4 linked regions of the Oryzias latipes genome follow. The main gene of each other region encodes a partner of the protein of the gene in region 3 in a complex. Links are inferred from orthologs where the notes say so. Each region holds a gene or a part of one and is shown on either strand. Other genes may lie near its edges.

Region 1 (7,237 bases), on a different chromosome or scaffold from region 3:
TAGTGCACTTGAAGTTTTACCAAAATAAGAAAAATAAATTGGCTCTTTTCTTAATCCAGTATTCATGGGCAACCAACCCATGTGTACCTTATTCTCATTCTTTTAAACTTTTTCCGTACTAAATGAATTAAACTGGATTGTAAAATCAAGTCAACATTTATTATTATTATTATTATTATTATTATTATTATTAATGTCACTTATAGTCTTGCTCTGCTCATACCCAATATTACTGTACATTTAGAATTCACCTGATGTTCTGGTTACTGATTAGATTTCCAAAGAGGTTTTTATTTATTTATTCGTTTGCTTTTTTACTTTATTGGCCTTCTTAAGAACCATCCCCACCACCACCACCCCAAAAAAGTCATCCCTCATAATTGTTTATTGATCACAAAAGACTGTTGCATTGATGGGAGATAGATAGTCAAATATAAAAATGTTGTGATTTTTTTCTTCTTCTTTTTAAATGCTTTTAAGTTGTGTTGTGAAAGAAGATTTTATGTTTTCCGTTCACTATACAGGAGATTGACTATTTTTCTGCCTCCTTTTCTTTTAGTGATGGACTCTTCAGATAAAAGCCAAAGTCCCACTCCTCAAAATGAACCACCTAGAGGTGAGTAAAACACTGCCAGAACAATAGTGTAGTAATCAAATGTCGGCATCAGTTGATTTGATATCAAATTGTTATTTGGGTCTGTTCTGGATGTACAGCAGGTGACGAATCCAATCCAGCTGATGGGAGACTCCAACAAGTTAGTGCAGAGGAGGAAAGCACCAAAGAGCAGCAGTCTCCACAAAGAAAGTCTCCAATGTCCAGGAACTCATCCAAGAGCCCCAACTCTAGCAGCTCAGACAGCAGCAGCAGTGAAGATGAACATCATGGTGCACTAAGGAAGATACGGAGTAGTGTTGCTGAAATCAAAGTGAGTTATTTCATATACGTACTGTTTTACAATCAACTTCCAAAAATTTGAATATCATAACAATAGTATGTTCATTTCCATAATTGCATTAAAAAATACACTTTAATAGAATCTAATCTCATGTCCCTTTGTTTAATTAATTTCGCGTATTTATTTGATTTTTTTATTTATTTATTTATTTTGCATAAATTAGGATTCCAGCTTATGAAACCCACAAAAAACAGGATTTCAAAAAAAATTGGAATACTATGGAAATATTTTCCTAAATTTAGCTAGCATGAATGTTTTAAATTGGGTTTCATCAACTAATCACCTACTAAAATCAAGGTTCAATATGGGGAAGACTTTAGACTTCACAACTGGCCAGAAGACCGTCATTGATCCCTCCATAGTCTGGGTAATCAGTCACCAACGTTCCTAGCTAAGGAAGCTGGCTGTTCACAGCTGTCCAAGCAGATCACTGGAAAGTTCAATGGAAGGGTAAAATGTGGCAAGAGAAGATGCAGGAGCAAAAGAGACAACCGTGGGCTTCAGCGGATTATCAAAAGATTAAAGAAGCTCCAGAAATCCAGAAAGAGTGGAATGGGGGGGAGGAACAGCTTTAAGAACCACTACACTCAGACGCATGTGGGAGATGGGCTACAACTGTCGGGTTCCTCGGGTTAAACCACTTCTGAGCCTGGACAAACGGAGGAAACATTTCAATGGGGCCAAAATGAAGAAGGACTGGACTGTTGGCCAGCGGTCCACGGTCCTGTTTTGTTATGAGAGATAAGTGTGCCGTTTATTTGGACTGGTGAGGAGCAGAACCCAAACTGCTAGGGGTCCAGTGTGAAATCTCCACAGTCAGTCCTGATTTGGGCTGCAATTTCCAGCACTGGTGTTGGAAAACTCTGATTTCCGTCTAGCAGAATGTTCTAGAGCAGCGGTCCCCAAACCCCCGGGTCGCGGACTGGTACCGGTCCGTGAGTCATTTGTTAACGGGCCGTGGAGGAAGAAAAAAAAAAGAAGCTTGCATTACTTCCGTTTTATTTATTTCCGAATCTGAAAGATGTTTTATATTGAAAAATTGCCCGATTATCTGTTTTATCCGTTTATGTCACTCTTGATGCAGGCCGAGGCGCTCTTCTCGATCATGTGATAGGTTACAGCTAAAATAAAACCCAGGATCTAGCAAAATGAGTAAAAACAAACGTCTGTGGAAAGTTTCTTTGCCAAGGGGAAAACACCCAGCCTGGGAACAGAAGAGGAGCCTTCCACTTCCAAAAAAAGAAGGCTACATTTAGTAGACAGTACTTCTTTTTTTTTTGCACCATGAATGTGGGAAGGGGAGAGGATGATGACACCTGTACGATGTCATGCGTGTAAAAATAAAAGCTCAGGCTTCGTCTTGCCATGACTCTGGTACTTGTTTATCATGGCATAGCGACCATAATCATCTGTCTACAAGTTTCAAGACGGGTCCTAGGAACCTTTCTGTGACGTCATACCGGTCCGTGGCATTAAAAACGTTGGGGACCACTGTTCTAGAAGACTTCATGATTCCTCCTGCTGAGGATCTGGATGGAGACGCAGATTTCATCTTCCAGCAGGACTTAGACCCCGCCCATATCGCTACAAGCTCCAAAGCCTGGTTTGATGCTCGTCTGGCCTGCCAACTCGATAAACCTAAAGGCCATTGAAAATGTATGGGGTCAAACAAAAAAAGAGCTGACGGCAGCATCAAGAAAATCTGGGCTCCCATAACGCCACAAGCTGATTGCATCAATGTCACAGTGCATCAAGGCAGTTGTTAAGGCTAAGGGATTCCCAACCTAGCAATGAAGATCGACATATCATTTTGAAAATACATTATTTTAATGGATTTCATGTGATCATGACCTCCGTCTTTATCTTCTTGCAAAAGGGGAGATTTCCCCACAGTACCGTATTCAGATTTTCTGAAATCTTGTTTTTGTGGGTTTTATGAGCTGGAACTCCAATTAATCCCCAAACAAATACACTTGAAATCAATTAAATGGTGGGCCCCAAACCTTTACACTATAAAAGTTCAATTTTTTGAAATGAATTATGGAAATTAATACTCTTTTCCATGTAGAAAGTGTCTGTTTTGAATATACTATTTAAGACTCCTTAAAGGAGAAAAAAAGAAGAAAAAACTTCAACTTTTAATGATAATTTTCCACTTGTCTTTCTTAGTTTAAAAAAAGAGTCAACATAAATAAACTATTGAAATTAACTTCTCTGTTTAAATATATTACATTGTGCTGTTAATCCTAAAGACTTGGAAAATCATGTTTTATCTGTCTGGCTTTTCAAAATCAGATGCATCTGGAATTTAAATGTGTGAAGTCTGTCATTAACTTTTTTATTTTGTAAAGGTTTCTTCTTGAATGTCTGAGTGTCCTTATTATATACTTGTCTTAATTCATTTCAAAGCTTTTTTTCTTTTTCTAATGATCAAAATGTCCTCTTTTTTTCTGATGTCACACTATTATCAGTTTAAAGAGTACACTGTGCCCCAGAAAAGCTTTATGTACTGTAGACATTTGCACATCCACTATTTTTACATTGTTGATTTAAAGTCTTCAGGTTTCATGAATGAAAACTGACCACCATTTAGTTTAAACAAACTCGCAGAGAAAGCTGCCAAAAAAGATGCAATATCATTTCCATCTGCCATCATCTGAATCTTAGTTAAGCATTTCTGCCATCATGAGCATCATTTTAATAGATACCTTGACTTTGTGACTAAATACAACATATTTTATCTGATGTTAAATTCTTTTAAATACTACTTGTAATTAATAATTTCAGATTAAAAAAAAATAGCATCTTAATTGAGATTTCAGGCAGAGGGAAATTAGCTTTTTTTTTATTGAAGAAAGGCACCCCAGGATATCTGAGCAAAAACTGGAGTACTGATTGAGACAATAACAAATGAAAGAAGACTTTGTGGCAATGACTGTTTTCTGAGAGACGAGCTCTCCAGTTACCTGCAGGCTCTTATTTAAAGCAGACGGATGTAGACAGACGATGGACTGCAGAGTTGCTTCCGTCACTCAACTGAACTAAAGCTTGGAAGCAAAAAAATGTCTTTTTTTAATCAATAGAAATGGAATATTTGTTTTTTTAGATTGATTTGTAATGGTAACCCAAAAGCTCACATAGTTGCATGATGTGAACAGCTTAAGTTGGCAGTCTTGATTAACTGTCCTATGTTTGTGTCTTTCAGAGACCGGAGTTGAAAGAGCAAGCAAGGTCCAGATCCAGGGAAAAGGACAACTCCAGATCCAGATCCAGATCCAGATCCAAGTCGGGTGAGAAAGACCAACCCCGGTCCAGGGAGAGAGAAAGATCTCAGTCCAGGGGTCGTGATAGATCCAGATCCAGATCAAGATCCAGGGGAAGAGACGGATCGAGGTCCAGAAGACGGGACAGATCCAGGTCCAAATCTAGAGACCGGAACCCAGACCGTTCTAACAGAAGATATTATGCTCGGTAACTGTTAGACACACACCAACACTGTCTGATTTCATCCTATTTCTTTTAAATAGAAGGAAAAACTTCTTTGAATTTCATTAAGCAGCTGTGGATTTATATGTTAGGGTACCCTAGTTTAGAATTATCTTATTTTAAATCAAAGGTTTGTCATAATTATTTTTACTCTTAGATGTTCTTTTTTTTGCTGGATTTATCATTTTTTTCCCCATGTTTATTTGTAGACCTAACTTTTTTTTGGGTCAAAATTATTTTTGTAAAGTCTTTTAACATATTTAAATCCACTCTTTAGAACTAATGTTGAACAGATTGGACGAACGTGAGTCTCAAGAAATCGAACCTTTCACGGGTTTGACACAAAACCTTTTGAATATTTTTGATTTTCAGGGATCGCTACCAGGATCAACGCGACGATAGAAATGGACGCTTTGATTGGCGAGGCAACAGGGATATGGAGTCCGGTGAGAGGAGGCGGGGCCGCTCCGCTTCTCCTTCCAATGACAAGGAGCCAGATTCTGCCGAAAAGCCTCCCGTTAAGAAGAAAAAGGAGGAGATTGATCCGATCCTGACCAGGACCGGGGGTGCTTACATTCCCCCTGCCAAGCTGCGCATGATGCAGCAACAAATCACTGACAAGAGCAGGTGAGACAGAGATTAAGACCTTTTATTTAACTAAAGGTATGAACCCATTCTGGAACTTTCCATTTTAGTGGCAGGTTTTTATCAAGCTATTCACCATTTTTACGTTTTATTAGCAGCTTCAGATCACTTATTATTTCATTTATTTGTCTGTTCAGCAGCTGAAGTCAGTTTATTAGCCAGTTGATTAACTCGTTGCCTGCCTGTACAGCCTGGCCTATCAGAGGATGAGCTGGGAGGCTCTGAAGAAGTCCATCAACGGTTTGATCAACAAAGTCAACGTGTCCAACATCGTCAACATCATCCAGGAGCTCCTACACGAAAATATCGTCAGAGGGAGGTGAGCTTATGGTCAGATAAAAAACACTGCACATAACTTCTGAAAAACCTCAGTAACAACTGAGGCTAATATACGATATTCTGCTTTGAAGAACAGTTTCCGTTGCTTTTATTAAGTCATTTTTATTTATCAAATAATTTAAAAAACTAGAATGTAGGCCTGCAAAATAAATCGCAAATCAATTATTATACAATACGCATATCGCAAAAGACGGCGAAAAATTGCAATAAATGGTTCCCTTCAATGTGCTCAAACAGTCCTATGACACCTTAAAGTATTTAACGAATCAAATAAATCCATTTCTGCATTTGACCTCTCAGATGGACCCTTTACAACATTGACCAATCAGATGGAGGCCTTTTATGTTAGATGTTCGCCTCTTATGTAGGCGGGGGTCATTTGGAGTGTAATTTAAGTTATGTTGACTCTTATTTAAATTAATCTCTTTCAGTGAAATGGAAATTATGTTTTTAGTTGTTTTGCTATATGTTGATTTATCGCAAGTTATATCCTCATCGCAAAACTGATCACTAATATCGCAAATCGCCAGTTTTCCTCATAACGTGCAGCCCTTTTTGAATGTTATTTCTAAGTTTTCCTATAGGAGTCAAACATCTGGACCTGATGTGTGTGTTTTAAGTCCCAAAGCTCCTGTGTGACGCCTCCTTTCTGTGTGTGTTTCTGTCAGGGGTTTGCTGGCTCGATCGGTGCTGCAAGCTCAGGCAGCTTCTCCCATCTTCACTCACGTCTACGCTGCTGTGGTTGCCATCATCAACTCAAAGTTCCCTCAGATTGGAGAGCTGATCCTCAAACGCCTCATCCTGACCTTCAGACGGAGCTACCGCCGCAACCTCAAGGTGTCTCTGTCGTTTCTGCTGAGTCATGCATCATCTTCATCAGATAGTAGAGACGCTGTGTGTGCTTCCCATCTGAAGGGCTACTAAGCAAAACGTGTTCCTGTAGCTCATCTTTAGCTCTGAATTATTTGATTGTTTTGAATCTCTGATTTCAACTGCATGTGAAAAATTATCATATTTTTATCATCTTTTGATCTATTTGCAAAGCGTCCCCCTGGTCTTTTAATTAAATATTGTGCAGTTTTTTGACCAAAAGCAAAAAACCTGTCGTTTTCTAGGACATAGTTTCTGCAGAGCAGTGATAGTTCAATAGAAATATGCCTCAGAGTTGTGGGTGTTACGGTTGGCGTGGAGCAACGCCGCCCCCTTTCCCCTCCTTGTTGCTGAGAGCTTGAAGCAGGAGGCTTATGGCCCGCCCAGCGCATTTGCTACGTCACAAATGTTCTCTTTTTCAAACAGCATTTTTTTCATCTGCTCCTGATTCATGTTGATTTGAATAAAGAGACACTCAGAAATGCAATTTTAAGCTTAATTTTTTTGTATGTGCCCTCCGTCATAAAAAAATGCCACAAGAACATATTAAAAACACTAAAAATATAATTTTCATCGGAGTGGGTCTTCAAGACTTCATTGCAGTTGATCCTAAATTTAAAACAATTATCATGAATTACACAGTAACATAAGGTAAATCCCTGTTTTGGAGTCTTTCTTTAACTCAACATTGCATTAATTCTTTTTAGAGTGTTTTTTTTGTTATTTGATCCATTATTTTAAGTTGTTTTCATTTAAAAAAGATGAAAGCATCATAGTATGAAATTCTGAATAAAATTCAGGTTTGATTGGATTGTTCTTTGTTTATTATTTTGTGCCTGCATACATTACCTTTTTGGCCAAATTTCTTACAAAATGATGTTCCTTCTGTTGAGGACAGAGCAGTCATGCTGCATCCACATGCTTGAGGAAAGATAGGTGTC
Region 2 (5,900 bases), on a different chromosome or scaffold from region 3:
GAGGAGGCGAAGAAGAGCGACGTGGAGTCCGAGTGTGTGAGTAGCTGCGCCGGCTAACCCGGGAGCTAACGGCGGCTCCGGGAGGCGGCCGGCGGCGGTGACCCGGCCCGCTGCCCGGTGGGCCGGACCGGACTGGCAGCGGGGAAACGGTGGGGTGGGGGGTCATTCACGCCGTAGAGCAACCGCTTCCGGTTTACAACTCCCTTCAAGCTGCTCAAACTCTGAGAATGTCCGTTAATTTGAGTCGCGCGCGCCGCAGAGGGCTGGGGAGGGAGGGAGGGAGGGAGGGGGGGGGTCTGCACTGAACCCGGCAGAGGGCTTCCAGGGTCCTGGCCGGCTTTAGTCCGGTTCTGCTGGGTTCCGTGGGGCAGGTCCCGCTATGAGTCACCAGATAAGAAGCGGAACCGGGTTTCTGCTGCTTTGGGTCCAGTCACACGGACTCGAACCTGAGCCCAGAGGAAGCTGCTATGTTGGGGATTTGAACCTGCATCTCTGCTCCAAACATACACACGGCGCTCCTGCTGGCTGCATCACGTGACCAGAGATGGATCAGACGCAGGGTGGACTGCAGATCGGAACCAGCCTTCATATCGGCCCACATCCTGGACCACGTGATACATTCTGACCCCCCCCCCCCCCCCCCCCCCCCCCCCCCGTTCAGCAGCTGGCTTACATACACAGATGGGGGCGGGGCTACCTGGCCAGCACCAAAGGCACCTGAGGTTTCAGTTCCCGCCCAAACACAGACAGACCCCCCCCTTCCCCCGATGGGCTGTATGTGGGCACTGGAGTGAGCGATGATGCGTTCACACAACGCCGTTCTCGTGTCTCCTCCGTGTCGGACGCCTGTCCTGGAACGTCTTCATCTAGAGCAGTGTCTTTCAACCAGTGTGCCGTGGGAAATTGCCCTCATTCACTGATCTAAAAACATTTTCCATCTCCAGGATTTCAGCTCTGTGTTCATCCAAACATCCTGATAAAACACTGAGGAGTTAGGAATATGAAAGATCATAAAATACTTTTTTTTGCGTTTATTTTATTTTATTAAAGACATTTTGATAAGAATGACGCGATTCAGCTGCACCTTCGGCTGTATTTTGGAAAAGTCCCGCCCCTTTAACTGTCTTCACCAATCATTCTTGGGGGGCTTAATCACATGTCATCAGTCTGACCAATCAGAAGTGGTTAAAGTCTTCACTTCCGTGTTCTTAATTCTGCTCATAAAGTCACTCAGTTCTAACAAAAATACCAGCTAAAGCTCGTCTTTAGCGGTGTAGCTTTCCACAGAATCCGGTATCAGACCGTGGAACAAGTGAACAAAACCATGAAGCTCCGAAAAGCGATCTTTGGCCGTTTTATGCACTACATCTCCCATGATGCATTGGGTTGTGAGAGTGACGGTGCACAGGGAGATCTGTTGTTAAACGTCTTGAAACCAACGAACACACAAACTATTTTTAAATCTTCTAACTTAACTTTTATTGCATCTTTTAGAAAAAACAGCTGCAGTTTCCAGCTTTTTCTGCAACAACTATCTCAAAAATGCATGTGAGATTGTGGAGGGAGGGGCTGTAGATCAATACAGACTATGAGATTCTCCTTTTTTTTATTTTAATTTTTGGATGCTGGTGGGCCGCGGGATTTTTTTTAAGGTTAAAATGTGCCGTGGCTCAGAAAAGGTTGAAAAACACTGGTCTAGAGGCTCCAGCGGCGAGTGGGAGGAGCTACTGTTAAAGGACCTGGATGATGTTTGGAGAGCTCAGCGTTAGTAATCCCGCCTCCACGTCTGCGTTCATGACATCTCCGTGGTGCGGCGAGCTTCACCGTCTGCTTTATGGCGGCGCTTCCAGCGCTCCTGTCTCCGTTTGACGACTTCCTGTCAACATTTTATGTCGTCTCCATGAAACCGACATCCTGATGTTCAGGACAGCAGATCCTCCAGAAATCAGACATTTATCGTCATTTCCAGCTGTGCAACACGTAGATCGCAAAAGACGGCCAAAAGGTCAACAAATGATGACCTTAATCCATTTGACCAATCAGATGTTAGATGGTCAGCTCCTTTGGATCCCATTCAAACTGAGCGGCAGTGAAATGATCTCTCTAGACTCCGCCCACTGATTACATCATCAGCACATCACGGGCCAAAGCGAAGGTCCTGATTGGTTGATGCTCCATGTGCTGCTGTCAGACGGTCAAAGCGGTTTGATGAGAAGCCTTCATCTCTGTTTGCTGCAGTGAGGAAGAGGAGGATTGTTTCCAATGGACTTTGTTTGTTTTTTTGCAGGAGAGCGAGGATGAAGCTGAAGGTAACTCGCCCGTCCCTCACTTACGTGGTTACACCGCCACCCTCTGATGTTTGTCTGTCCCCCCCCAGCTGTGCTCTCAGACTATGACAGCGCCGAGCCTGAGGAGAACGGCTCCCCGTCAGAGGTACCCCCCCACACTCTAGGCTGATTTCCACTGGGCCGTCTGCGCTCCCTCCGCAGTCCGTCTGCAGTCCATTTCAAAATAAAACGACGACATTTGTTGCACGCTGTTAACACGGCGGATAACAGCGGCGTCCGTTTTTGCCACGGACGTCATCTATGACCCAAACATGGGTCGTAGGACCCGGCGCCAGCACGAGGCCCACCTGCTCTATACAGGCAGGACAAACCACTCCTCCTGAAGCCATTGGGGAGGGGGCAGACGGACTCCCCGCACCGGAGGCGCCGCAGACGGACCGGTGGAAACCGGCGTCCGGCCGCGGCCTGAAGTCTCAGGCGTTCTGAACAGACGTGTCTTCCAGGGAGCCGAGGAGGAAGCGGAGGGTTACAGCGAGGAAGAGGCTGTGGAGGCCGGCGAGTCCAAACCGTCTGCTGCGGTGGGGGAGGGCGGGCAGGAGGGGGAGGTAGAGGGGGAGGGGGACCACGAGAAAGAGGAAGGCAAAGCCGAAGAGAAGGGAAACCTGGCCGGGGAGAGGCAGAGCGGCGACGGACAGGTGAGGAGGTTCCTGTGTTCCTCAAGGTCCAGTTCAGGCCAGAACCCCCACGGTTCTGTGTTCTTCCCCTGGCCCGGTAGGAATCCACGGACCACCCCGAGACCAAGGCGGCAGGAAAACCGGGCCAGCAGCTGGACGACGACGAGGACCGGAAAAACCCCGCCTACATCCCCAGAAAGGGGCTGTTCTTCGAGCACGATGTCCGAGGACCCGCCCAGGAGGATGAGAGGTACGGCCCCCGGTCCGGTTCCCCGCCCCCCAGAACCGACTGCAGCTGCTTTTCCCTCCGCAGGCCCAAGGGGCGGAACAGGAAGCTGTGGAAGGACGAAGGCCGCTGGGAGCACGACCGCTTCAGGGAGGAGGAGCAAGCGCCCAAGAGCCGCGAGGAGCTCATCGCCATCTACGGCTACGACATCCGGAACGGCGCCGGGCCCGCCTACAGGCAGCGCCAGCCCAGGTGGGCTGACGCCACGTGTCTGGTTCTTCAGGCTCCGCCCCCCCTGTGCTTCATCTACCTGTTGGGTTTGTCTGCAGGCAGAACACGTCGCAGGGGAGGGACAAACGCTGGAGGGAGGGGGCGGAGCGACCCGCCCGATCCTGGCAGAACCGGACAGGAGGAGCTCCGCCCTCATCTGTCCCGCCCCCCTCCGCTTTCCCCCCTCTCTCTGCCGCTCAGCGCAACCACACCTCCAGAGCCCCCCCGTCCCGGAACAGACCCCCCCACCACAGTCAAGCTCACCCCCCCCCTCCGCCCAGGAACGAAGACGCTCCTCACAGGGAGCGGCAGGTGACCAAGACTCTGCCGGAGCCTGCAGGGGAGAGGGGCGGAGCCAGCAGAGGGGGGCGGGGTGCTGGAAAGGCCGGCTCCTCAGTGTTGGGGGAGGACGTTTCTCCGGACGGCGCCACAGAACCGCCACAGGACTCGAGTTCTGCAGTGCTGCTGCAGACGAGCAGGTTCCGGTCCGCCTCCCCCCGTCGGCAGGACACCAGGCCTTCTGCCCCCCCCCACGGCCCCCAGGCATCTTCAGGTGGCTCCAACCCCGACGCCTCCCCTCCCCCCGAGCGGCCGGTGGAGAGGAAGTCCTACTCTCTGGCCCGCAGGACCCGGTCCCGGCCCGCCGACCTCGGCAGCAAACAGACCTCCGTGGAGGAGTCTGCAGCGGGTGGGAGCGCCTCCCCCAGCAGTGGGGGGGGTAAGGGCTGGATAGGAGGAGGGGAGGGGGCAAGTCAGACGGGGGGAGGAACCTCGGAGCTGGACCAAGACGTGGCCCGCCTCAGTCTGTCTGGACCAAACTGGAGTCAGAACCCGGCGTCGTACGTCCGCTCCGAGGTCAGAGGTGAGCCCCCCCCGGACAAGTGAAGGCAGCTGTCTGTGGGGTGGGGGGCACAGGTGTAGTTCCTCACCCATGTTTCTGCTCACAGGCCTAGGAAACCCCGTGCACCTCCCTAATGCACCCCCCCAGTTCTCCAGCATGGACGACCTGGGCGGCGGCGCCGGTCGAGCCAAACGCTACTCCTCCCAGCGCCAGAGGGCGGTGCCAGAGCCAGCCCCGCCCATGCACCTGGGGGTCATGGAGGGACACTTCTACGAGCCCAGTAAGAGCTGAAGCCGTTTCTTTGGGGATGGGGGACAGCTGCACCTCCTTCAACCCCCCAGTAGGGGTCACTGCAGGACTGCCATGGGGAACTGCTTTAGGTTCTGGCCCGGTTCTGCATCTTCTGACCCCTTTCTCTGCGTCCACAGTGTCATATCAGGGACCAATCTACACCCACAGTGATGGCCCCGCCCCTATCCCGCCACAAAGCATGCTGGTCCAGCCCGAGATGCACCTCCCACATCCTGGTGAGTTCTTTGGTTTGACATTCATTTTAAATGCTTCTTCATGTTGAAGCTCCGCCCCCTGCAGGACTTCATCCCCATCAATCAGGCGGCCCCATCGCTAACCCCACCCTCTACGGAGCCCCCCCTGTGTCGCTGTCACCAGGACAACCGCAGCAGCTACTGCCCCCACCTTTTTACCCTCCTCCTGGGGTAATGACCTTCCCCTACCCCACCATGTACCCCACCCCCCAGGTAAGTCCCACTGATGGTAGTAGCCTTTTGAGGGGGGGCCGGCTCTGAACCATGTGGTGGATATTGCAGGGTCAGGCCCAGGTGACCTACGGGGGCGTGACGTACTACGACACCATGCAGCAGCAGGCCCAGCCCAAGCCCTCGCCCCCCCGCCGCACGTCCCAGCCCGTCACGGTCAAACCGCCCCCCCCGGAGGTTCCCTTCGCCTCAGAGTGAGCCTGCCCCCAGCCTCAGCCCCCACCCTGGCGTGAACCTTACAGGTGAGTTTCTGGTGCTGCCTTCACTGTCCTGTTGGAGCTTTCATCACTCTCCACTCTTTCAGGAGGAGCCAGGGGGGGGGGAGTGGCCTGAACCAACACCGTAAGGAGGCGGGGCCAGAACACCGGGAGGGAGTGACCATCATCACAGCTGGATGGCTGATTTCCCACAATCCCCTCTGACAGTGTCATCGGGACGACTTGGACTCGACAGGCAGGAGAGTCCCCCCCCCTCCCCCCATGACCGTCAGCTGGTGAATACAGGACGCACCTGAATGCAGCCCTGAGTGCGTTTGCAGTCGGCGTGGAGCTTTCAGTGCTCACTCCTCCTAAACTCCGGTTTCCTGCTGCACCTGAACGTGTGCTGAAACGGGAGGGGGGAGTACCTGGAGGGGGGGGGGGGTCTGTTGGTGCTGAGATGAACAGTAAAAATCAGATTTCATGTTTGGAATGACTAAATAACCAGATTAATTTATAATCTAGAGGAGAACTTCCTGTCACTCACGCTCCGGGGGGGGGGGCGTGTCCTATACTGTATAGCGTGTACAGGGTGGAGGCGGGACCGTCGGCAGGGACCTGCGTTTAT
Region 3 (7,910 bases):
GCTACTAGTACTCTAAAGGTTCCTGCTATGTGTGGCGACAGAACAGAAGCTCTTACAATATGATGCAGACAGGATGCCGTTACGAGGCACATGATTTGATTGGCAGATGATGGGCGGGTCTTTGGTGTTTGTAAAACGTTCTAGAGACGGCTGTGGAGATTCATGCAGGATGGTTCCACAGCACAATCGCGTCTAAAGGCCCGTACACACCGGGACGAATATTCGTCAGGCGTTATTCGCCAGCGTTTTTCGCCACGTTTTTTGTGTTCACACCCAGGAGATTTTTGCTGACGATGAGCCGGGCGAACATGCAATTTCATTCCCTGACATTAGATGGCGCTTAATGTAAACAGAAATACTCCTGTACACAAGGTGGCGCTGCGCAACTTTATGCTTCTTAAAGTCGCTTTTCACTCAGAAGAAGAGAGCAAGTATTTACACGCTTGTCAGAATCATACAAAGAAAACATGAATATTTCAAGCACCAGTAGCTCCAACTGTCGGTGTGCACACTCACATTGGTGCCCTTTGTTTAGTCACGAGGCGTTAAACGTCGGCGAATATCGCACACGAAATTCGTCCCGGTGTGAACGGGCCTTAAAACGTTCATCCTGGTTCTTTAGGTTGAAGATGAGGTTTTTTTCTAGAGCTTCTTGGATTAACATGAAGATCCAGGATGAACGTTCAAACCTCCGGTCAGCCGCTGCTGCACAGATCCCTCCGTCTACAGATGTGAAAAGACACGGTGGAAGACCAATGACTGTGGCTGATTGGAGGGGCGGGGCTACGGCACCCTTACAGTGCTGGAGGCAGTCATGTTGGGGGGGGGCATAAGAGTGCCTTTTGTTCACACTTTGGGATGAAAACGGAGTCAAACATCCCTCCAGGGGGGGTAATGGTGGAGCTTCTGAACGAGGGAACTTTACATCCTGATACCAGCAGTAGCTCCGGAGAGACACTGGACCACAGCTAGGGGTCAGAGTCCCAAAATGACCCCACTGTTTTAATGACGGGGGCATACCATGGCAAGATTGAGGGGTGGGAATCCATTCATTTTCTTCTTCACACTCTTTTTTTGGGCTCTTAGTTTTGTTATTTCTGTTTTATGTTAGAAATCAACTAAAATGGCGTAAACCTCTGTAGCGCTTCTCTACCTTCTTAGAAGGCCCACAGCGCTCTACAGTCCCATTCACACACTGATGCCGAACACCGGCGCCAACCTCTAACCGCCAGGAGCAATGTGGGCGTCAGCGTCTTGCCCAAGGGCCCTTCGACACATGGGAACAAACAGACACTGAACCCCACTTGCTCCTGGTCCTCCATCAGTGTGTGAATGTAAAGCACTGTAGGCCTTAAGGTAGGAAAGTACTAGCTGAGTACATTTAGCAGTTATTAGCTCCAGTGAGAAGGCACCAGCAGTAAATCTAACCTTAAAGTCATCTCTAACGTCTGAAGTTTAGAAAATGACTTTTCCCATCTTCCCCACTGCATTTTTCTAAACATTTGTCTTTTCTTAGGGTTTCTTTGCAGAATTTCTGTTTAGCCCCCAACTTTCCCTTACTGCCCCCCAAATGTGTGTCCTTATTTCTGCATGGCTGACTTTTTGGACTGCTGCTAAACAGGAAGTGATGAAGACGAGGTGTTCCTCTTCTGAAGATAAGTGTCTACATGACTTTGTAATAAAACGCTTCAACATCCTAAAGGCCTTTTTTGTTTTGTTTTTTGTTGACTCTTTACAATTTCACTTCCAAATTCAAGAATATTTTCATGACATGACCTTTCCCTGCATCTCAAATACAAACTTTATAACCCAATATTTTAATTATTTAGGAAAGAAACAAAAACAAACTAAATATTTACAACTTCCCATTCCTCCTAAAGCCAAGGAAGTCCACTTTAAACCAATTCCAAGGAATTACTAAGAAAACGGTTTGGAATTCCTGAAAACTGTTCTTTTTGTTATGAAGATATTGAAACAACTGAGAATCTTTTCTTTGAATGTTTTTACTCTCATGGCTTTTGGGACAATATACATTATTGGCTCTTCCCTAAAATTACATGTTTAGCAGACTTTTCTATTAAGGATATCATTTTGGGGTTTATTTAAAAAACCAATCATTTTAAATGTTGTAATTATTTTGGGTAGATTCTATACACAAATATCGATTCCTTAACATCAATCCATACTTTTTTACATTTCATGAAGAACTCTGATCTTTTTCTTCTGTAAACATCATCATGGAAAATAAACTTGCTATGGAACTCCTAAGTATCATGATTTCATAATTTACAGCTTTTTGATAATCCCTAAATTCATGATCATTGCAATGCCCGTGGATATCCCCTTTATTTTATTTTAATCCGTCTTATTTAAGTTTGTATTTTATTTCTTTATTGTTTTTTGTATTTGTTTTTACTTAACTTTATTAACGTTGTTAACTTTTTTCTATATCTGTGTAACCGAGCGATGGGGGAGGTTCAATAATCATTCACTCTGTGGTCATAAACGACACGGGACAACAGGTCCGCCATTTAGTGGATCCGCTCACCAATTCTTTATTCTTCTTCTTCTACTCTCCCAAATTTAACTTGCCACGCCCCCTGGTCTCTAGGGTAACCCGGGAGGGACACACCTCTCCCAAAATAAAAGATCCAGGAAGTTGGTTACATACGTCCACCCTTTCAAAAGAAATGTCCTCATTTCTACAATTTCTACAGGAAATGCAACAGGCCGGGGAGTGCAAAAAAATAAATAAAATAAATGAATTAAGAAATAAACATTCGAGACCCAATATGGCGTCAACAAAAGTCAACCAAACAGGAACAACATGAGTTTACAGAACCCACCGGCAAATTTCCCACCACAGGAGGGAGAGGAAAAAAAAAAATCTGAATAATAATACAACATTGCCTGCCAACCAACAGCATATTATTCAACAGAATCTTTCAAGGAAGGAAAACACAACAACATATGACAGTCTCCTCACAACACCAACAAAAATTTCACTGTGACATAACTCTGTATTGTTACATCCTAATAAAGTCCTGATAACGTGTTGGAGCACGCACCATTCTGCCACTGCGGGAGTGTGCAGGGGCTGTCCCAAACGCGTCCCTCTGACCCTGTTGGGGTGGATCACCATTATCTGGGGGGTCCAATGAAGTACCCGCCGAAGGAGAGGATGATGGCGGGGTGGACATACTGTCGTTTGGGGAACCAGCAGGCAGGGGAAGAGTGTAACGTTTTAACCTGTCATGATGAACAACCTGGGCCCGCTCAGACATATCCAGGGGGTTGACAATGCGATATGTCAAAGCGGCCTCTGCACCTGAAGCCAGAACCCGATCCACACGATAGGGACCTTTCCAGTGCGGTGCTAGTTTTGTGCGGCCCTCTGTTGGGTTATTAAGCCAGACCAGAGCACCCTCTGTAAAGCCCTTGTGGTGAGAGTTCTCATCATGGTACAGTTTCTGTTTCTCCTGCGCCTCTGCTGCATTAACCCTCGCTGCACTGAAAGCAATCTCCAGCCGCTCCACAAGAGACGACGCGTATAAAGGCAGCGTGGCTGCACTGCCAATGCCACCAACCCCACTAGGAATGAGAACCTCTGCCGGGGTCCGGGCTTCGCGCCCGTGCATAAGATAAAAGGGAGTAAACCGTGTGCTGGTGTGCTTGGAGATGTTGTAAGCAAAAGCAACAGATTTCAAATGGTCATCCCATTCCCCCCCCATGGGACAACAACATCTTGGCCAGCTGGTCAATTAGGGTAACCCGGGAGGGACACACCTCTCCCAAAATAAAAGATCCAGGAAGTTGGTTACATCTGTTTTAATTGTGGTTTGACACTTTATACAGCTGCCACAATATTGTAAACCTCAAATGTTTTTTCCAAACGAAAAACAATTGCTCTTCCGCCTGATAAACCTGGTCGCCTGCTGATGACGTAAGCAGAGCGACACGTGGAGCGCTGTTAGTAGCTAGCAAAGCGGTTACCCCCCTTTTGCGGAGACTACCGATTCGTTTTGAAGACAGACACGACCGTCATGGCCGCTGCTGGGACACCGGGCAGGAGAAGACTCCTGAAGGAGGAGGACATGACCAAGGTGGAGTTTGAAACCAGTGAAGAGGTGGATGTCACCCCTACCTTCGACACCATGGGGCTCCGTGAGGACCTGCTCCGGGGAATCTACGCCTACGGTAGGCCGGTGGATTCGAGAGGCCTCCGCCTCCAGATGCTAAGCCTAAATCCGCTGTGTGGTTCAGTTCACCTTAAAAAAGGAATGAAAACGTAGTTGGTATCAGACTACATCCCGTAATAACTTACATTAAAGCGGGTAGATTGGTGTGACCTGATCATTTTGTCGTTGGCGGGAAGAAAAACTTCATCTTTTTAGCCTTCATGCTAGCATGCTAAGGCCGCGTGCGGCCGCGCTGACATGAAATTAGTTTAAATTCGTGTTGATTATTTACTAAACGAAAACCAGATACTAAAATTTGCGGGTTTCGTTCAGTAATGCCTGGACACGATCTTTGTTGGTATTGTTGCTCGTAACAGTCATGATCCAGGAGTTAGACGGTTCCCATCCTATATGGCTTCGTATATGTAGCGAATATTTTACTAATTTCCCCCAGAACTATTAATAAATATATGTCAACACTTCTGTCTTAATGTGTATTTTAATTTTGTTTCTGTTCATGTGTTCTGTCTTCTCCAGACGGCAGAACATTTTATGAACATATTATCTGGACCCAAAAGGACGGGAGAAATCCCAATAGACAGAATCGATCAGATTTGTATCTACAGTAATATTGAAGTGTTGCACTGATAAAGATGAATTCTCTACATTTTCCTGGACTATTGTGCTTGAGAGGATCCTTCTTTACCCCTAAAACCCAGTTTCTCCATAGAAATCCTTTCTGTGGGACTAAAACTTTTCTTTCTGGTCAGCATCACCAGAACTTCCCACTTTGGTCCCCCTCAGTTTGAGCAGCATGGGAACTTCTCAGATGAGGTTTCTCTATGTGGAAATGAAGATGGACAGCACCTGACCAGGTTCTGGTTCTGTTACAGGTTTCGAGAAGCCTTCAGCCATTCAGCAGAGAGCCATCAAGCAGATCATCAAAGGCAGAGATGTCATCGCTCAGTAAGTCTGGGCTGGAAAACATGCAGGTGCTCTGGTCCTCCATGCTGTAACGTGTGATCTGTGCTGCATTCAGGTCCCAGTCTGGAACAGGAAAGACGGCCACTTTCTGTATTTCCGTCCTGCAGTGTCTGGACATCCAGGTGAGTTCTTGCTGTTCTTGTGTCCCGTGACAGACGGGCCAGAACCCGTTTGCAGCTCGGTGGTGATGCTGTTCCTTCTGCAGGTCAGGGAGACCCAGGCTCTAATTCTTGCTCCAACCAGAGAGCTGGCCGGACAGATTCAGAAGGTAGCCCCGCCTCCACCGCCATGTTCAGCCAAAGGCTTGTAAGGTAGAGGCGGCGGTGCCAGTCACGGTGTCCTGTGTGCAGGTGCTGCTGGCTCTGGGAGACTACATGAACGTTCAGTGTCACGCCTGCATCGGAGGAACCAACGTGGGCGAGGACATTCGCAAGCTGGACTACGGCCAGCACGTGGTAGCTGGCACCCCTGGACGGGTTTTTGGTGGGTTCAATGGGTTTTATGGCAAAAGTGGCACAAACGGGAATGCTGACGGCGTCTCTTTACAGACATGATTCGGCGCCGCAGTCTCAGGACCAGAGCTATCAAGATGCTGGTGTTGGATGAAGCTGATGAGATGCTGAACAAAGGTGAGGTCCTCTGCTGTTCAGCGTCTTCTGTACCTGCAAAGCAGCTCTGTCTGAGCTGAAAGCTCACCTGCTGGTCATCAGAATAACTCTGGCACCTTTGGTTACGTCTGAAATGTGTTGAAGGAGCAGGAAGGGTTGGTCCTTCCAGGTTGGAACCACCTGTTCCAGACACACTTGAAGGTCACCTTTCCTTTCAGTGGTCGTGTTTTCGGCTTAATGTGTCAGATTTGAAAAGTCCATTTGACGCCATCGGGCCGCGATGTCACCACTTCCTGTTTAGGACGTTTAAAGCAACACTTCAGTGAATTTTAACGGTGACATGGAGATGTTCTAAGTGAAGGTTAGGAAGAACCTTCAGCAGAATCTTCAGCAGAACCGCTAGCAGGGTCAGAACTTTAAATTCATGTCTGTAGTGTTGCTAGTGTCACTGCAGAGAATGGTTTCAGATTTCTGCTTTAACATTCCAGATTCGTGGGGGAGCAGAGCTTTTGGGGGGTGGGGGTGGTGGTCTCTGTAGCGCATGGGGAGGTCTTCATCTCACCACCACACATCTTTGCTTGGCTGTTGGTGTTTTTGCTCTTCGTCGCCATCAGATCTTTTTCATTCTAGAATCCTGGACGGATTTTTCTACGAAGGCTTGAACTTTAAGAGAAAAGTCTGGAAATGTTGACAGCTAGCTTGTGGATTTCACCTGTGGCCGGTTATTTTAGAAGGCAACTCCCGCGATGGGAATGCTGTAGTTGAGTTCCGGCGTGACTGCACTTCCTGAATGACCCTGGTCAGTCAAAGCCGCCGTCATGGCTGAAGTTCTGGCAGACCGTCCTAAACTACGAGCTCTCTGAGAGGTTTGGGGCCGGCCTCAGAGACGGAGATGCTTCTGGGTCTCAGGGACCAAAAATCAGGAGCAGCCTTTCTCCGGTTTGGAGCACCTGACATCTCTGAGACTTCATTTTCAGTCTCTGACAGCAGAAACAAACCAATGTGTTTTTTCCTTCTGCTTCCTTGTTTCCATCATTTCTGCTTCTTCCTGGTCTAATCTTCAATAATAGGCTCATGATTGGACAGAGTTTGGTTATTGGTCACCTAAATCACTTCCTGTTTGTGGCGTAAGGACACGATGGCGTCAGTCATGTGACCATCTGGGTAGTCACAGCCGCTGCTTTGTCTTTGGCAGGATTTAAGGAGCAGATCTATGATGTGTACCGCTACCTGCCTCCAGCCACGCAAGTGGTCCTGATCAGCGCCACGCTGCCACACGAGATCCTGGAGATGACCAACAAGTTCATGACCGACCCCATCCGCATTCTGGTCAAACGGTGAGTCCGCCGATGAGCTCTGAAGCGGTGGGCTTCCAGCAGCAGTGAGTGACCGGCATTTGTCTCTGCCTCAGTGATGAGCTGACCTTGGAGGGCATCAAGCAGTTCTTTGTAGCCGTGGAGAGGGAGGAGTGGAAGTTCGACACTCTGTGTGACCTGTACGACACTCTGACCATCACACAGGCGGTCATCTTCTGCAACACCAAGAGAAAGGTTGGTGCACACACATCGGCTTTACACTGAAACCCGAGTCCAGGAAAGACCAGCAGAGGTCAACATCCAAGCGTCTGGGCGAGCGTTTGTCTCATGAAGCAAATGTCCATAAAGGGGACCGGGCTCAGGGTTTGGTTATCGTCCACATGAGCTCAGTCCCTGTAAATGTCCTCCAGTCGTTCTGAACAGAGTCTTGTCTTTATGTTGGAAAAACAAACACAATGATCAGGGTTTGTAAACTACCAGACTTCCATCGGTGAGTGAAAACACTGGTCCTGCGGAAGCAGCAATGCTTTGTGGGTAACGGATTCAAGCGCGTTGTTGCAGGTGGACTGGCTGACAGAGAAGATGAGAGAGGCCAACTTCACGGTGTCGTCGATGCACGGAGACATGCCGCAGAAGGAACGAGAGTCCATCATGAAGGAGTTCCGATCTGGAGCCAGGTAAGTCCAGAAGGGGGCTCAAGCTACCCCCACCCTCCCCAAGTTACTAACCCCCACCCTAAACTAGAACTAGAATAATAAACAGTCTTTGGGGTTCTTCAAGTTGATCAGTGAATGCCTGGTTAAAACCATCGCACTAGTACCCGC
Region 4 (7,943 bases), on a different chromosome or scaffold from region 3:
CGAGAACAATCACTGCTCCGGCTGGACCTTGAAGCTTGATTGCTGCGACAGCAAACATACAAAGTCCACGCCGACTGATTGAGTGGGAAAGAAATTATTCATGACGTTCTGGTCGCTCTGACTCAGTGACTCAAGCTTAGAAAAACCTGAACTTTTGATTCCATGTTTGATTAAATCTGAAGATACACTCAAAGTTCAAACTTCTGATCAGGTTAACTGAATATTGAAAACTGCAGTTTACTTGATCTATTTGTTTGCACTTTACTGTCCATCATTTGGGTTCTTTTTAAAAGTAGATCTTTTAATCATGCAAGATGTGTGTTCTCTTTATTTGATTGTGATTCGGCCAAACAGGCATGTAGAATCAAATATTTTTAAGAAAGGTTTAAAAAAATGCTTAAAAAACAGGTTTCCACAAATCTCTTAGAGTTTTGATGTTCTAACTCATAAACGGTATACTCTCAGCTTTTTTCAGGGTTTGAAATCTGATTTTTTTTATACCAGCTCAAGTATTTTTGATTAAATCGGAAAAATAAAGAGTATTTTATAGTAAATCGACACAGACTTTCATTTATTTTATATAACAATTAAAAACACATAAAAACTCACGAGAACTAAAAAATCAAAATACTAGAGTGGAGACTGAAAACAAAACAAAAAATACTTGTTAGATTTTAATCCCTCTTTCACATGTTTCTATTTTAGGATTGCTTATATTTTTTTTACTTTTTTATTACTGTTTTGGATCTGATAACTTTCTAACTGGTTAATTAAAAACCAAGATAGATTAGAGACAGAGCCGAGTGAAGTGAAAAATATTTTCTGACTGAGCTTTTTTTTTGTATTCCACTGAAAAATCTCGATTTTCTGGATATCCTGGAAAGAATGAGAACCGGGGACAGACAATTAATCTAAAAGATGAAGCCACTTTTGCTTGTCTATAAAATAAAATATTGGAGGGAGGACAGTGACTTTTAGAGTAGAAGTTGTAGTATTAGGATCTGTTGCCAAAGTTTTTACTTTTCAGACATGGAAGCAAAATTAACAAAAGACAAAAATAAAGAGATTGGAAAAAGGAAGGAAATAGCTATGAAGTTGGCATTTAATCAAAAAAAGCAGATTTACTCTTTTATTCTTATTTTATTTCAATTGCTTTCTTTTGTCCTGTTTGTGGATTTCCGACATTGGTCTTTTGCATTTCCGGGTTGAACACGTGTTCCCTCCTTTATCAATCAGCTGCTGATAAGCTCATTGATGAACCAGTGCATATGTGTTCATGCTCCTCAAAGTCATTTGTTTTATGTTTTCATTTATCGTTCACAAGTTTAGAAATCACCAATAAAATGACTTTATAATTACTCAATGAATCCCAATGTTTCTTGAAAGTCCTGTCTTTGTGTGCACACTTTTCTTTGTTGCTTTGTCACTGCAGCATGCAAGGTTGTGCATTGTGGCATCGCTATGGTAACCTGCATATCTTTTGTGGTTTCGCACCCATATTGTACTCCAGGAACAAAGAAGTGATCACAAAGAAAAATCGTATTCCTCTCCGACAGATGTTTGAAATGTGTTGCTTTGTGGAGCATCTCAGAGACGGCGTTTGTGAGTTTCTGGAGTCTGCTGTGCTTTGTGTGGAGTTTTCCTTTTCTCAAAGCACACTGAAACTGTGAAAATCTTTATGCAGCCACGGATGAATCTGCCGTCCTTTGTTTGTTTGTTGGGAAGTCTTGTGATGATTGGTAGCGGGCTGAATGGGTGTGCGTCTTCATCTGGAATGATGATTGACCCGCAGAGATTCTGCACAGCTCTACAGGTTCTGGTATGTGGCTGCGTGATAACACAAACAACAACTTGCTAGCACAACAGTTCAACATCCACTAGGCTAAAGGTCAGGTCAGCTTTAATATCTTCTTACAAAGTGGTAAGAAACCCTTCAATCTACTGTGGACTAGCTACACACAAAATCAAACGGAATTTTAACTTGACAGATTTATACTTTAAATCCAAAATTGTTGTGATCATAATCTGTTTTTGACAGAATGGCGTTCGGGCTAAATTTTATTTTTTTTGTTTCTTTTGCACCACAACAGTTCTGCATGAATGGATTTAAGCTGGCGGACTGGATCATGTGACGGACCACTCTGCTTTTTTTTTTTTTTTTCAGGAAAATCCTGATAAACGTTAAACCTTTGAATGCAACACTTTCATTTAGGGGGTTTTGTGTATTTGGAATAATTGTTGTGTGTAGTTAAAATAGTTTTAGGCTTTTTTAAAGTTTTACTGTAGTTTCGTTTGAAATTTTTCTTGGGTATTTTAACTGTTTTAGGTTTTTATTATTATTATTTGTTTATATGCATGACAGTTGTTAAGATTTTTTTTTTTTTAATCATTCCTCCTCCTGATAAAAAAATAGATGATGGTAAAAACTATTTCACCCAGAAAGCTGAAGTTCTGACTGTAGCAATGAAAATAATATTACAATTAATTAAGTAATGATTAATCTAATAAATATGTAAACAGTCGTGTAAATCACAAATATTGTATCAATCACAAATATAAACTTCTGTGAAACTCTTGAAGTTTGCAGACAACACTACAGTCAAATGCCTTACATGTGCAGTCATGCTCTTATTAGTAATAAAGATGATTCTGATTCTAAAACCTTGACATCAATATTAACACAGAATGTACTAATAATAATTATGATAGAAATTGCAACTCTAATATTAATAACAAGTATAGTCACAATTTTAATAATAGAAATGCTATCCCTTGCAGTATAATAAAGTATTTTAAATCATATTTTTGTTGTGTGAATGTTGACACTAATGTTTAAAACAAATGTATACATTTCTCATTGTTCTCATTATATCAGTGATGACACTAAATATAATACCAAGATAACAACAATTTTCAATTCTTGAAAATATATGGCATGGAAATTTTAACAATGCTATTAATAACAAATATATCATTAATTATATTGCATTAAATTGTCCACACTAAAGTATAAAAAATCATGATTATTTATTAATATCATGATTGAGTAAGTAAGTAAATTTTATTTGCATAGCACCTTTCACAGACAAAGATCACAGGTTAAAATATATATATATATATATATATATATATATATATATATATATACATATAAAAACATAAAAGATAAAAAGCACAAACCACGTAAAACAATCATCTCAAGCCCAATGAAAGCAGTTTCAGTTAAAATGCTTTGCAAAAATAAAAAGTTTTCATGATGATAAATGTAAATTATTTCATAAGGGATAAATTAGAAATCATGATTATTAAAACATAAATTATCGTTTAATATTATGCATTTTTACCAGTAACACATGTGATATTAATCATGAATATTATAATAAAACTCTGCACTAAAAATTAATAACAAAAATTTCATTTTCAAATAAAAACTCATTATTAATCTTATTATTATATTTGACTAATTTTATATTAATAAATGCAAATTTTCTTCATCTCCTATTTTTTCCCTGTGTTATTAATCAAACAAATTTAAATGTATCTCAGTAACATCTCCAAAAGTCTTAATCAGAAAGCTGCATGTTTGTATGAAAGTTGTTGAAATCTGAATGTTTTTTTTTATCTAAAACTCCTGTAATATGTATGCTACCCTGGCATATCTGAAGTTTACTTAGCAAAATTGTGTTTTGTATTAAACTTACTTACGTTTTGTACAATAAAGTTTAAAAAAAAATCTTTACGGAAGTTACGTACTCAGACTCTTTAGTGATTCTCCGTGCGCATGCGCTGTTCGTACTCAGTCAAACAGACATCATGGCGGACGTGTTGGACCTTCATGAGGCGGGAGGAGAAGACTTTCCTATGGATGAGGATGGTGACGGTATTGCGTTGTTTTACACAATTAGAGGCGGACGCACCGCAGTCCTGCCAGCCAAATAATGAAATTCAAATAGCCGCACGTGCGGTCAGAATCACGCTCAGCCCAGACTGCGTGTTTGTTAGCGGGCCGCAGCCGTGTTAGCATCCAGCTAACTCAACGAAAGGCGGTCATTCATCCACTTAGCGAGCCTCTCAGCGGGGGTGCAGCCGTCTGTGTTTGCGAGGGCCGCTTTTAAAATGTTAATTATTTAAACGGACTGTATTTTTCTCTGCACGTTAAAGCTGTTTTGTTTTCTATTAAGCTAGCGCTAGCATCCATGTTAGCCAACGGCTACATGCTGTTAGTGTTGCGCAGATGAGAGAAAAAACGTCGATTTAAAAATTGCACATTGTTCCTAAAAAAACAACCCAAAAACACATATAGTTACTCCATTTGAGAACTTCATAAACTAAACTCTTGTGAATTAAAGGAAACTGAAAACGGCGTCCTTAGGCTTTTATTCGTCTGTTTGCAGAAAGCATCCACAAGTTAAAGGAGAAAGCCAAGAAGAGGAAAGGACGAGGTTTTGGTGCAGGTGAGCTTTCAAAGCATTTTTCCCTTTATTTTTCTTGACTTCTTAGGGTTTGGTTTTGATTCTAAGTTTTTGATTCCAGATGATGGGGCCCGGTCCAGAGCCAAAGAGGACTATGATACTGTGGAACAGGACGGAGATGAGCCTGGGCCTCAGAGATGTAGGTGTTACAAGTGACCTTCATGTTCAGATAGAAGCAAATTAACAAGCTGTAGTCACACTTAGATTGTAAAAAATCTAAGATCTTTGTGTGTATTTTTTTTTATTTTATTTATTTAATTTGATTATAGAATAAATGGTCAATGTTGTGCTTTTCTACCTTTACTAAGCCACTAAGGGCTTGAAAGTCCCAGTCCCATGCACAGTCACAGCCTGTAACCCCCACGAGCGTTGTGGGGTTTAAGTGTCTTGCCCAAAAGACACGTCCACACATGGGCAGGCAAGGCAGGAACTGAACTTTTGATTGAAGGTCTACCTCTGCATCACAGCTGCAGATAACTAATTTAATTTAACCTAAAGTTCATTGTTTAAAAGTTATAAATCAGTTTCACGGCTGCGTTTTAATTTTGACCTATGCAAAAACTAAAAAACTGCTCTGAAACAATGCAGACTTTTACTTTTGAAACTGCGTGAATGCCAGCAGGTCAGGTAAACTCATCTGCTTGTCTTGGTGTGGAGACTGGGGGGTTTGGGTGTCTGATGCCCTGTTCCCTCCCCTCTCTGCAGCTGTAGAAGGCTGGATCCTGTTTGTGACGGGCGTGCACGAGGAGGCCACAGAGGAAGACATCCACGATAAGTTCTCAGAGTTTGGGGAAATCAAGAACCTCCATCTTAATCTGGATCGCAGAACTGGCTATCTGAAGGTGAGTTTAAACCATTTCCTTTTTCTTTGAACACATTTTGTATTTTAAAGACACAACATTTGGATGTCAAATGTTGCTTATGTTCCAATGAACATCTAAGCGGAAGAAGTGAATATTTGATCAACATTAAAAACAAGCATTTAGGCAGTAATTATCAGAGGGAAGGATGGAAGTCATCATATTAATGATGTGGAAGATTTCATTCAGTAGGATTTAATCATATATTTTATAATACTTGTAGAAAAGAAAGTTGGTTGCTAAAATAAGGCTGTTGTGTTCTCAGAACAGTTGCGTGAAGGGGTTAAGAGAGAGCCTGGACTGCCCTTTTGTAGCAGCACTTTAGTTTCTGTGAAGTGAAGCTGATATTTAAGAACAGTCGTATGAAAAACAAACTATTTCGGCTTTATTATTACTGAGGGATTTTCTTTCCGTCTTATTGGTGTTTGGCCGCCACTAAAGGCTAAAATGCTCAGTGTTGAGTCTTTGACTTTTCCACCAAAATAAAAGCTTTGGCATAATTCTGGTCTAACTGCACGACACAAAAATGGATGAGAAAAGCATTTGGGGGGCCGTGAGAAGAAGAGGGTTGACCTTTCTGCAGTTTGTTACTTCACGGTCTGCTCAGTGAAGGAGGAAACCGTCTGACATCTGCACTTTGTGATCAGAACTGTATTATAATAATTGTCAGATTTCAAAGGGTTGTTTTTCAGTTTTAAAACGAGTCTGAGGATACTTAAAGCCTGACTGTCACTGTATTTTCACTCAAAAAAAATATGTTTTTCTCTTTTGGTGCAGTGTTTTTCAACCAGTTTATAACTGGAAAAAAATTCCATTTCACCTAATTGGGCTAAAAAAATGTTTTCCGTTAGCAGGATATCAGTTCTGTGTTCATCCGAACAGACCCGGCTTTTCCACTGGAGTATTTAGAAATGTCTGCTTTGGTTTTATTGGTTTAGTTTAGTTTGTCATTTGCATTGTTTACCTAACATACAGTATAAACAATTAATTAAAAAAATAGGCAGAAGCATATGAAGCTTATTATATGCCTGTCCTTCAATGTCCAAGTTAATCAGTTTAACAAACCAAAAAGTAGGAAACAGTCCTTAATAAATGGAGACAAGTAAACAAAGTCCTTCTACATCTGTGTTTTGTAACCTTTAATATGTTTTAGACTTTTTTTCTTTTAACTGAGAATTACGTCATTTTAATTCATCGCTCAATTCCTTCCATTATTTCACGTCAAGAACTGAAACACATCTTGTCTTGACATTAGATCGAACATTAAACCTGTTCAAAATGAGAAAGACCCCTTAAATTATACTGACCAACTCTTCAATAGTCTGTCTTTTTTGGAACTAAATTACGTTTAACTCTATAAACAATTTCTAATACTTTACTGTAAACAATATCCTTTATTTCTAAACGTTTAGTTAAACTAAATTAGGCCTGCACACTAAATCGCAAATTTGTCGTTAACCCAATATCATTCAGTCATCTTCTATACCCTTTTTTGTCCCTGTCGGGGTCACGGGGCTGCTGGAGCCTATCCCGGCCACTTGTGGGTAAAGGCAGGGGTACACCTGGACAGGCCGCCAGCCTGTTGCACATCACACACCCATTCACACTCACAGCTAGGGACAATTTAAAGTAACCTATTAACCTATGAAACGTGTTTTTGGACGGTGGGTGGAAGCCGGAGTCCCTTGAGAAAATTCACACATGGCACGGGGAAAACATGCAAACTCCACACAGAAAGGTCCCCCATTGGGGTTCTGGTTCAGATCCCCCAGCCGGGACCTGAACCAGGAACCTTCTTGTTGTGAGGCACGAGCGCTAACCAGATCGCTGACGCAATAACAAATTTTGCAATGCCCCTTTGCTAAAGGTTGGCTAAATGTCTGATAAATGGTAACCTTAAATGTGCTAAAACAATATTATGGCAGCTTGAAGTAACAAATCAAATAAATCCTTTTATGCGTTAAGATTGACCAATGGGATGGGGCCCTTTTATGTTAGATGCTCACCTGCTATGTAGACAAGGGTCATTTGGAGTAAATAGGATTTCAGTTATGTTAAATGTAAAATAAACTGTTGCAGTGAAATGGAAATCATGGTTTTGGTTGTTCGTGTATCGCAAGTTAAATCGTCATCGCAATATTAATCACTTGTATCGCAAATCACGAGTTTTCCTCACATTGCGCAGCCATAAACTAAATAATGATTCAATGATAGTTTCTCCTGCATTTCCCCAAATATCTGCACAATATGAAAGATACGGGACAACTATTGATCAGTAAATAACATACAAGCTCTGTTCAATGCATCTCTGGTTTTGAACAGTCATTGATAAAAGATCTTAAATAAAATAAATGTATGTTTGTGTTCATTTGATTCTTAGTCAAGATACTTTGATAAGAATGACTGTGTATGTTTTTGATTTAGAAACTGACATAGCACGTTCAGTAAATTTGGGATAAATAGTGTCTGACTGTAAAACGCTTGGGGAAAGTTGCATCGTCAGTGGCGTCTATTGTGCTGCATGTTTCTTAGCCACAAGGGGGCAGCACGTCTTTGCTGTTAAAATAAATCAACCCTTAGGAAGGAATTGTTCATTTTCGTGTTTTATAAA

The links.
Region 1: the proteins of eif4a3 (region 3) and cwc22 are in contact, whole or in part, in a crystal structure (PDB 4C9B), measured with the Homo sapiens proteins. The link is inferred for Oryzias latipes from reciprocal best matches to the Homo sapiens genes EIF4A3 and CWC22. Residues at the interface, in NP_055555.1 of Homo sapiens: Met43, Gly44, Ile72, Ile73, Lys74, Gly75, Gln98, Cys99, Met183, Gln213, Val256, Ala257, Glu259, Trp263, Asp266, Thr267, Asp270, Leu271, Tyr272, Asp273, Thr274, Leu275, Thr276, Ile277, Thr278, Gln279, Ala300, Asn301, Phe302, Thr303; in NP_001362958.1 of Homo sapiens: Thr129, Gly130, Gly131, Ala132, Tyr133, Pro135, Pro136, Ala137, Lys138, Arg140, Lys164, Asn167, Gly168, Ile170, Asn171, Lys172, Val173, Asn174, Ser176, Asn177, Ile180, Ile181, Glu184, Ala207, Ser208, Ile210, Phe211, Tyr215, Lys330, Arg331.
Region 2: the proteins of eif4a3 (region 3) and casc3 are in contact, whole or in part, in a crystal structure (PDB 2J0U), measured with the Homo sapiens proteins. The link is inferred for Oryzias latipes from reciprocal best matches to the Homo sapiens genes EIF4A3 and CASC3. Residues at the interface, in NP_055555.1 of Homo sapiens: Thr178, Arg179, Lys198, Ile201, Tyr202, Tyr205, Arg206, Tyr207, Leu208, Pro209, Pro210, Thr212, Lys231, Phe232; in NP_031385.2 of Homo sapiens: Arg217, Trp218, Glu219, His220, Asp221, Lys222, Phe223, Glu225.
Region 4: eif4a3 (region 3) and rbm8a share a complex: the UniProt entries of both Homo sapiens proteins name them as parts of the ALYREF/THOC4-EJC-RNA complex. The link is inferred for Oryzias latipes from reciprocal best matches to the Homo sapiens genes EIF4A3 and RBM8A.

Annotation. Positions count from the first base shown.
Region 1 is NC_019879.2:6,698,694-6,705,930, reverse strand, and holds part of cwc22 (pre-mRNA-splicing factor CWC22 homolog), read left to right. Parts: intron 1-559; 5' UTR 560-561; coding exon 562-616; intron 617-714; coding exon 715-926; intron 927-4,161; coding exon 4,162-4,427; intron 4,428-4,814; coding exon 4,815-5,069; intron 5,070-5,277; coding exon 5,278-5,406; intron 5,407-6,094; coding exon 6,095-6,263; intron 6,264-7,237. UniProt on the Homo sapiens protein: Required for pre-mRNA splicing as component of the spliceosome. As a component of the minor spliceosome, involved in the splicing of U12-type introns in pre-mRNAs. Promotes exon-junction complex (EJC) assembly.
Region 2 is NC_019866.2:502,311-508,210, reverse strand, and holds part of casc3 (protein CASC3), read left to right. Parts: coding exon 1-36; intron 37-2,287; coding exon 2,288-2,309; intron 2,310-2,377; coding exon 2,378-2,433; intron 2,434-2,791; coding exon 2,792-2,983; intron 2,984-3,063; coding exon 3,064-3,212; intron 3,213-3,275; coding exon 3,276-3,440; intron 3,441-3,517; coding exon 3,518-4,320; intron 4,321-4,405; coding exon 4,406-4,579; intron 4,580-4,727; coding exon 4,728-4,826; intron 4,827-4,875; coding exon 4,876-5,057; intron 5,058-5,126; coding exon 5,127-5,273; 3' UTR 5,274-5,317; intron 5,318-5,379; 3' UTR 5,380-5,900. UniProt on the Homo sapiens protein: Required for pre-mRNA splicing as component of the spliceosome. Core component of the splicing-dependent multiprotein exon junction complex (EJC) deposited at splice junctions on mRNAs.
Region 3 is NC_019859.2:157,021-164,930, reverse strand, and holds the start of eif4a3 (eukaryotic initiation factor 4A-III), read left to right. Parts: upstream 1-3,940; 5' UTR 3,941-4,043; coding exon 4,044-4,197; intron 4,198-5,071; coding exon 5,072-5,144; intron 5,145-5,217; coding exon 5,218-5,284; intron 5,285-5,367; coding exon 5,368-5,430; intron 5,431-5,512; coding exon 5,513-5,645; intron 5,646-5,710; coding exon 5,711-5,791; intron 5,792-6,965; coding exon 6,966-7,107; intron 7,108-7,181; coding exon 7,182-7,320; intron 7,321-7,647; coding exon 7,648-7,763; intron 7,764-7,910. UniProt on the Homo sapiens protein: ATP-dependent RNA helicase. Involved in pre-mRNA splicing as component of the spliceosome. Core component of the splicing-dependent multiprotein exon junction complex (EJC) deposited at splice junctions on mRNAs.
Region 4 is NC_019874.2:29,124,245-29,132,187, forward strand, and holds the start of rbm8a (RNA-binding protein 8A), read left to right. Parts: upstream 1-3,805; 5' UTR 3,806-3,813; coding exon 3,814-3,874; coding exon of another isoform or gene 3,875-3,880; intron 3,881-4,394; coding exon 4,395-4,454; intron 4,455-4,533; coding exon 4,534-4,611; intron 4,612-5,177; coding exon 5,178-5,314; intron 5,315-7,943.